2 linked regions of the Cricetulus griseus genome follow. The protein of the gene in region 2 binds, or shares a complex with, the protein of the main gene of each other region. Links are inferred from orthologs where the notes say so. Each region holds a gene or a part of one and is shown on either strand. Other genes may lie near its edges.

What was found.
Region 1: the proteins of Pfn2 (region 2) and Vasp are in contact, whole or in part, in a crystal structure (PDB 2V8C), measured with the Mus musculus proteins. The link is inferred for Cricetulus griseus from reciprocal best matches to the Homo sapiens genes PFN2 and VASP. Residues at the interface, in NP_062283.1 of Mus musculus: Gly3, Trp4, Ser6, Tyr7, Asn10, Cys13, Tyr30, Trp32, Met131, Tyr134, Ser138, Phe140; in NP_033525.2 of Mus musculus: Gly165, Pro166, Pro167, Pro168, Pro169, Pro170, Gly171, Pro172, Pro173, Pro174, Pro175, Pro176.

The regions. Positions count from the first base shown.
Region 1 is NC_048602.1:28,086,810-28,091,076, forward strand, and holds the start of Vasp (vasodilator-stimulated phosphoprotein), read left to right. Parts: upstream 1-1,274; 5' UTR 1,275-1,411; coding exon 1,412-1,416; intron 1,417-4,267. UniProt on the Homo sapiens protein: Ena/VASP proteins are actin-associated proteins involved in a range of processes dependent on cytoskeleton remodeling and cell polarity such as axon guidance, lamellipodial and filopodial dynamics, platelet activation and cell migration.
Region 2 is NW_023276806.1:93,602,440-93,606,720, forward strand, and holds the start of Pfn2 (profilin-2), read left to right. Parts: upstream 1-1,460; 5' UTR 1,461-1,538; coding exon 1,539-1,670; intron 1,671-3,621; coding exon 3,622-3,814; intron 3,815-4,281. UniProt on the Homo sapiens protein: Binds to actin and affects the structure of the cytoskeleton. At high concentrations, profilin prevents the polymerization of actin, whereas it enhances it at low concentrations. By binding to PIP2, it inhibits the formation of IP3 and DG.

The sequences.
Region 1 (4,267 bases), on a different chromosome or scaffold from region 2:
ACGGACTGGCTAAATAAAGGCCGAGCGGGTTGATCCTCCGTGAGTCTTGGGAGGGCTCAACCAAGACGATCATAGGCTAACCCCATCCCCTACCTGCGTGCCTCAGTTTCCCGACCTGTAAAGCAGGAACCGGCGCTTGCCCGGGGTTAACGCCTTTCACCCTGCCAGGTGGAGCTCTACGGGAGGGGGCGTGTCCATATGGTGATGATGTAACTCTGGGCGGGGCCTGCGCGGGGCTCAACTGCGGAAGCCTCGGAGGGTGTCTGGGCTCGACTCCTCCCGGGTGCGCGGGGGGGAGGGGGGGTCCCCAAGGAGGGTCCCTGGGCCTCTGAGCCTACGGGGTGGCTGGGGCGGTCCTACTGTGTGCCGTGGGCGAAACTGAGTCGTAGCTGGGCATGGAGGGGGGCGGATTAGGGGGTCCCACCCCTTCCCCTGCGCTCCGGGTCGGTCCCCACCTTCACCCCCGCCCCCCCACCCCCAACCCCATCCCCCAGCCACGACCCAGCGACGGTGAGTCAGCGGCCCCGCCGCGCCCCCTCGCTCGCCCGCTCGCCCACTTCCTCCACACCTTCCCCGGGAGGGTGGGGGGGCGGCGAGGGGCGGGGCCCGGCCTGAGAAGCCAGATCTGGGGAACACGGAACCTGCGGGAGTGTTACTTAAAGGTGGAAATCGATGAGGTCCCCTTGCTTAACCACAGGGTCCCGCCCCGCCCCACCCCACCCCCCAAAAAAAAGAACTGAGCACAAGAAGTGCACGCACGGAGCGCGCCAGATCCTGCACCCCCCAGATCGCTACCTTTAAGGATTCAATAGTGGGGGCACCTGGGGATCAAAGAAAGGCCGCCTCTCCTTCCCCGCGCTCCCCCCCCCAGCCCAGCCCGGCCCGGCCCGGGGGTGCTGCACCCCCACGCCGCCGGGCTCGGGGAGGCGAGCGATTGCGGAAGCCGGAGGGAGGTTCCGCGTTGCCTTATAAGCGCTCTCCGCCCCCCCCTCCCCTGCGCTCGCCCTGAGCTGTCCGCGGCGCCTTTAAGGCGCGGGGCATTGTGGGCGCGGGGAGTGGAATTTTGGAACGAAATGTAGCAAAGAGAGTACAGTAGTAAAGAGTAGCCGCCGAGGTGCAGCTGGCCGACGGGGTGCGCGGGGGAGGTCCGCTCGCCGCACCCCGCTCTCCAGCGCAGGGGGGGGGGCTCGGTGCATCGGAGCCCCGCAGGGAGGAGGCGCCCGAGGGAGGACCCGCCCCGGCCCGGTCCACGTTCGCTCCGCTCCTCAGGAAGCCGGACTCTACGGGGCGGGACCCCGGGAGAGCCTGAGCACAAGAACCTGGAGCCGGCCCCGCACCCCTGCACTTCCCATCGGGGCCGCCGCGGGAGCCCTCCCCGCGGGCGAGCCGCTCGCCCGCCCAGCGCGCAGCCATGAGGTGAGCCCCGAACCCCACCGCGCGCCCGTGCCAGCCGGGTCCGCGCCCCGCCTTTGTCCCCCTCCCCCCCGGCTCGCCCCAGGCTGCGATCAGGGGACGCGCCGGGCGCCCCAACTCGGAGCCGATCGCCTCCCGGGGCGCTCTGCACTCCCCCCTTTTCCTCCGCGCTGCTCCCCGCAGGCTTGGGGCGGCGCCGGCTGGAGGGGGGGGTCTCCGGGGCTCCGGGGGGGTCAGGCTTGGGGGGCGCTCGCTGTCGGGACTCGGGATTGCAGGACTTTGGGGAGCACCTCCGAGTTGGCGGAGAGGTGGGGCCGTCCCGTGGAAGCCGGGCTGCTCGGAGGAGTCCGTGCCCCAACTCCCGTGCCGTCTTGGGGAGGTGGTGGGAGGCTGGCTGGAGAGCCCGTGCGAGCCGGTGCGAGCCCTGGAACTCTGAGCCCTCCTGGGGGGGCGGGGGGAGGGCGGGGGTCTCCGCACCCCTGCGTCAGGGGCGCGGGGTGAGGGTCCCACCGCGGTTCTTAACTTCGGGGTTACTTCTCGTCGCCTCTAGATGTGGGGGGCTCCTCCTGCAGAGGGGTCCCCTGGAGGGTCTGCCTGGGACTCCCTCCCCCCTGGGTGCCCGGGAGCACTCACCCCAGGCCCAGGGTGGCTCTGTCCCACCCCCCCCACCCACCTGGTGGCTCAGGAGGGAGGGGGCGCGGCAGCTGGGGGAGGGGGGCCTTTGTCTTCCTGACTCACCTGTCGAGACAGCTGGCGTGGGGGGCGGGCCCCCGAGTGAGCACTGTGGGCCAGCTGCTTTCCCCACATCCCGGCCCCTCCCCCTGGGCTCCCAGTGTCGCCCGGTGTCACTCCCCCTTCCCCAAGCCGTGGGATTGGAGGAGGGGGCGCTGGAAAGCGTCAAGGTCACAGCCTTCTCCCTCAGGGACCCAGGCTTCCCGGGCTTCTTGCAGCTCTCTTCTTGGAAATTTAATCCTGGGGGCGGGGGGTGAGGGGAACCCAGGAATTTCTTTTTCTTCTTTTTTTAAATTAATGTCTTCCCTGGACGCGCCTGCCCTGAACTCCTGGGCTCACCTGAGGGCGGGGCCCGGGCCCCCCATCATCTCCCCCTTGGGGTTACATCTTGACAATGCTATCTCCCTTCCTCCACTTTGGCTGGGACTTCCTGCCCCAGAGCCCCTGGCTAGGGGAGGAGTCTCCTGGGGACACTTTGGGGGTGTCCCCCGGTGCGCACATGCTCCACTCTTGGCCCGGGACGTCAGGGTGACATTCCTCTCTAGGACCCCGCGCGAGGACCCCTGCCTCCCTCCCTCCCTCTGGTCTGTCCCTTGGCCTGTGGGAGTGTTGGGATCTGGAAGGGGACCTCGAGACACCCTGGAGACTTCCTGCCTGCCTGTCCTTCCCTCCCCCATGGGAGCGCTGTCCCCCCTCGAGGGGGTCAGTTCCTCACTCCACTCGCCCCCCCACCTCCTGCTGCCCCCAGCCCTGCCCCTCCCCCACCCGTTTCCGGTCCCAGGCCCAGTGGAAGGCGGATGGCGGATGTCCGAGTTAGTGCCGCCTCACTCGCTGAGACCGTAAAAGGGCAGGAGCAACGTCTGGGCCGGCCCCCTAAACCCCCACCCCCAGCCGCGGTCCTCCCGCAGCCCTCCTCCCTCTGACTGACCCGGGACAAACCTCCCTCCCCTGAGGGAGGGCGCAAGGGGGACGGGTGGGTCCCCCACCCCCTTCAGAGAGGGTCTCCCTTGGTCACTTGGTGAGCTGTGTCCCTGTAATCCTGGGACAGCTAGGACTAAAAGAGAGAGGCAGACAGACAGAGACCCGTCCCCCTGTTCCCAGCTGGGTAAACTGAGGCCCAAGACTGAGAAGCCTGGGTCCAGGGCCTTCAGGGGTTCTTGTGCAGTGTTGGGGAAGGGGGTGGGCAGGTTTGACCGGGGGTAGCCGAGGTGGAAAGTTACAAGAAATGGTTCCTTTTCTCCCAGTTTGACAAATATTTGTTGAGTGTCTGCTGCATCCGGGAGCTGGGAAGGCGGGGAAGGGGTCAGAGGTCTGTCTGAAGGCTCTTGGGCAGAGCGGGTTCTGAAAGAAAGCGCCTGGGTTCATTCCTTTCCTCTTGCAGTAATAACAGAAGCGGCGACTGTTATTTTATTTTGAAATGACAGGCGGGTTCGCTCACACGTCTTCGTGCCAGGCACTGTAAATACGGGTCTGATTCCATTTAAACCCCCACCACAGATAAAGTGTGATGCTAGGACAAGTTTTGTGCCCTGGTCTTGACCCCATTTTACAGGTAGTAATATGGAGGCACAGAGACATTAAGGAAATGGCCTATTAAAGTTTAACAGTTTGGGAGCACGGGGTGGTGACTCATGCTTGTAACGGTAGCACTTGGAAGGCCAACTTGGGCTACTGAGTCCCTGTCTCAAAAATAAACATATAAAATCAAACACTTTGGAGGTGGTAACAACCCAACTTGTTTGTACCCAGGACTGTCTAAGTACTGGTATTATAGAAAAAGGAAAATAGAGTCATTTGTGACTTTTTGGTTTTGTTTTTGTACAGATAACTCACTTTTACTATTAAAAAACATTTTTCCCCCCTGCAAAGTCACCCTCTGCTCCATTGTGAGCTTGAGGCCAGCATGGGCTATAGAGTTAAGTTCTAGGTCAGCCTGGACTACGCTGAGCCTGTTTCAATACGCCAACCTCCCAAGCAAACAAGCAAACACCTTTGCCTTCTTTTTCACTTAGGGGAAACTGAGGCCCACTGGATGGAGGGAGTGAAATGAGTCCCCGGAGCCCCATAGACGGAACTTGACCTGTCAAGATGGCATGCGACTGCGTGTGTGTGCGCGTGTGTG
Region 2 (4,281 bases):
AAGCAAGTCCCAATTAAATGTTTTCTTTTATAAGAGTTGGTGTGGTCATGGTGTCTCTTCACAGCAACAGAATACTAAGACATTACTTTTATCCTTAAAAGTAGGGTGGGGGGGAGATAAAAGTTCAGCAATGTTATTATAAAATTATCAGCGTACTCCACACTTTAAATTGACAATAGTGTGCAAGGTTTGGGGGCTTTCTTTCCCTTAATAGGCAGGTCAGGTTTGTGGTTTAAAGCTGGTCACTCAGGTTTGTTGTTGGAGAACATCTATTCTGGGTTTAGACCCAACGCCTAAAGCTAATAAAGATGTAGGAGGAAGTTCAGAGACTCAACTATCTTCCACCCTGTTAAATACAAGTCTTTCTCAGATTTGGATTCTGAAATGATTTCTCACTGTTAGGACAGTGGTGCTCAACTTATGGGTCATGACCCCTTTGGGGTTGCATAACAGTAGCAAAATCACAGTTCTGAAATAACAAGGAAAACAATTTTATGGTTGGGGTCACCACAACATGAGGAACTGTATTGAAAGGTCACAGCTTCAGGAAGGTTGAGAACCACTGCTCTAGAACCTTCCCTAGCTTGGATACTGTGTATTTTCAGCGACGTATGCAACGCACAGAATCTTTTCCAGTTACCAAGTGCACGCAGGTCTGTTTCATTTAGAATTTCTGGATGATCGAGGCCCTGGCATGATTAGCAACACTGGGTTCAGGGCAAAGGTTCCACAGAACCCCAGACTCCTGGTACCCAAGGAGGCAACAAAGAACACGGAGCGCGCTCCCCTGCCGCGGCTCTGATTTCAGTTGCATGCTGCGGAGCAGCTGGCAGAGATCTTCTCCGAGGTTCCTGCCCAAGCATGGGCAACTCTCACTGGCCGCTCCCACCAACCACAAAGAGTAAACCCCGCCGCATCCGTAACCAGGGCAACCCAGCCACCAGACACCGCGGCTGTCAATACCGCATCCAGAGCCAGCGCTGGAGGAGGGCGCACGGTGGACCCGCGTGCGGAGCTCCAGGGGCACCCCACGGCACCCACTCATGCTGCCTCGCCTGGCCTGAAGCCCCGGAGCCGCGCCCCAGCCAGCGCCAGCGGCTAGTCCGCTCTCCTGTCGCACGTGTCAGCCGTGATTGTCCCCGGCGGTATCCATCCGCGCCCCCGCCTCAGCTCCCCCGCCCTTCCCGAGACCCTCGCCGGCCGGCCGCGCTGCGGAAGGATCGCACGCACGCGCGCTCACGTCCCGCTGGCCCCGGAGAACGGAGGGAGCCGCATTGACAGTCAGCCGTCGCCAGCCCCGCTGCCCGCATCGTTCCGCCGCCGCCGCCGCCGCCGGCTCCTGAGCCTCGCGGCCGCGGCCGCCCGCCGCGTCCCCGCTGCGGGTCCTGTCCCCGCCCGCCGCAGTTCCCGGAGAGGGGCGGTCGGTGCCTGCGCAGAGCCGCCTCCTCCCCGCCCCCGCCCCGCCTCCGCCGCCGCCGCCGCCGCCGCCGCTGCGCCTTTGCTCCTGCCGTCCCCGCTGCAGTGCGAAGGGCTCGAAGATGGCCGGTTGGCAGAGCTACGTGGATAACCTGATGTGCGATGGCTGCTGCCAGGAGGCCGCCATTGTCGGCTACTGCGACGCCAAATACGTCTGGGCAGCCACGGCCGGGGGCGTCTTCCAGAGCATCACGGTGAGGCCCTGGGGCGCCGAGCCTGCAGGTGTGCGGCGGGCCTCCGAGGAGGGGACGCCGCCCGCGAGGAAGGGGACGGATGCGGCCGGGGCTTGAGCAAGGGATGCTGCCGGCTCGGGGAGGGGATGGATGCGGCCGAGTCCCTGGATGTGGGCCGCTGAGACTGGGGATGCTGCCCGAGGCCGCGCGGGGGCGGGGCGGCCGGACTCTTAGCCCCGGCGGCGCCCCGGCTTGCGACTGCCGGGGTGGAGGAGGGGACGTCTCCCCGAGAGGCCCCTCGGCGTTCCGGGAGGCCCGTGGGCTGCAGTGCGGGTCCCCGGGTGTGGGCGGGGGTCCTGGGCGGCCGGCTAGCCCCGACTCGGCGGTGAGCGCGGGCTGTGGGAGGCAGCGGTGGCCAGGTCCCTAGAATTAATAGAGTGACTTTGCGTAGGCTTGCCTGTACCCAGGCCTCCTGGGCTGGCAAGAAGGGTACGCGGACCACGTATGTGGAATCGTGAATCTACTTCATCTGTGGCTCTATAGTTTTTTTTTTTCCTCCAAGATGGCGAACTGCCATTGATTTCTCTTCTCCACCTATAGAGATTCATCGATATACCGTTATCCCCAGTTACGCAACCTAGCCCTAAAAAGAGGATGGTTTTAGGGTGGTTAAAAGAAAAAAAAATTATCTGGAAGTCGCGGGAGGGGTGACACTTCTCCAAGTCACTCCCTCTTTAGTGATGGTAGTAAAAGAACTAATACGGATTTATGCTTCACCTTGCTTCATATTCGGGTGTCTTGATGGCTTTTGACTTGGTTGCCACACATTTGGGAGATATTCGTCAATCAGCCTCCAGTACTGCTTATTGTTATGCCCATTTCTACGTAAGGCTCTTTAAAATGTTGACTCCAGTATCAAGTACAAGACCATTCCCTTAATTTCGTAGCCCCACACTCCCACTCTCTTCCTATCACACAGCAAAATTCATGTTTCATATCACAGGTACTCAGCATTTTACTACTTGACATGGTTTAACATATTAGTGTAGATTCAGCCCTTGATAGGAGTGCCTTAGGATCTTCTGTCCCGGTGTGGGAGACTACAATTCCTATATGGAATTGACATTCGGTGATCAACTTTTTTTTTCCTGCAGTCTTGTCTTTGTGTGTGAGTTCCCGCTGTCTGGCTAAGAAGATTGCGGGAGTGTGCTTGGAAATGGCTGGGGCCTGCTATGACTTTGCAGTTCTGATGGGGGCGACGCCTTCCTTCTTATTCATGGAATGTTAGAATGCACGTTTTCTCTTTTCCGGTTCTGGTGGCTACCTCACTTTCTTTACCAGTGCCCCTCCATTTTCTCTATAATTTTACTATCGCCGACGGTAGTGCTGGAGACAGAAAGAAAGCTGATTACTGAATGAAAGGGCAAGGCAAGTTGGAGAGAAAGGAGTAGTGGCTAGAAAATAGGAGGGAAATACGAATTTGGAAATGTCCGCCAGTCTGGTGATTGAGATTCATGCTACCAAGGATATTTCAAGCTGCTCTAAGGAGAGAAGTGAGCAGGTTTATCTGGGGAGACTTTTGCAACTTTAAATTTGTTGCAACATGACTAATGTGGCTGAATATGATAGGCAAGCTGTTGGAAGAGCTTATAGCTGAATCTTTACAATTACATAAGCACCTTCAGGCACCACCTGACGTGATATAGTTTATAAATAACTCGTTTTCAGTTTGTACCTAGTGTCAACTGCCAACTATTTAGGGAGACTCTTTGTATGGTTGGTATTGCACTAGCTTTTAGTTAGCAGAACTCACTGTTAAAATGCAAAGGCAGACTAATGTGTTAAGCGTGTAATCATGTAGGAATAGGCAATAACAGAAAATGTTATCTTGATTTTACATCAGCACTGTTCCTTGTATCAAACTCTGAAAGGAATTAACTGCAATTTTTTTTTCTTTGTTTTGGGTGGCCAGCCAGTAGAAATAGATATGATTGTAGGAAAAGACCGGGAAGGTTTCTTTACCAACGGTTTGACTCTTGGTGCAAAGAAGTGTTCAGTGATCAGAGATAGTCTATACGTTGATGGTGACTGCACAATGGATATCCGGACAAAGAGTCAAGGTGGGGAGCCAACATACAATGTTGCTGTTGGCAGAGCTGGTAGAGGTAAGTGAGCTCTTTCTTATTTTGTGTGTGTGTGCCTAAAAGTTGCATGCCATATTACACTTGAGTTTCTTTAATGGTCTGAATTAAAAACTAGTTCATAATGTCTATGAAGGTGTTTTTGTGAACTGCTCAGCACTGAAGGGGAGGTACTGCTTTCAGTCTGTCTACTTTACAGTTTTTACACTCGAAGCCTCACCTCTTTCACCCTGACTTACTCTAAATTATTAATGTCAACTCTTCATCTTCAGCTTTAGTAAATGAAAATGAAAAGTTGCCCCTTAAACAACCCAGTGTCATAATACTGTGGTATATATGATGCTAAACTGTTCAAGACACCTCGTTATTTTGTCTCTAATGAGTCTTGTGGATCTTTCAAGTTTGCTTAGATTTGAAATAAATTCACTGCTCATCATTAAAAATCACATTGGTTAGTTCTTCTGCCAGGAACATTTCTGAAGAAGAGAGAA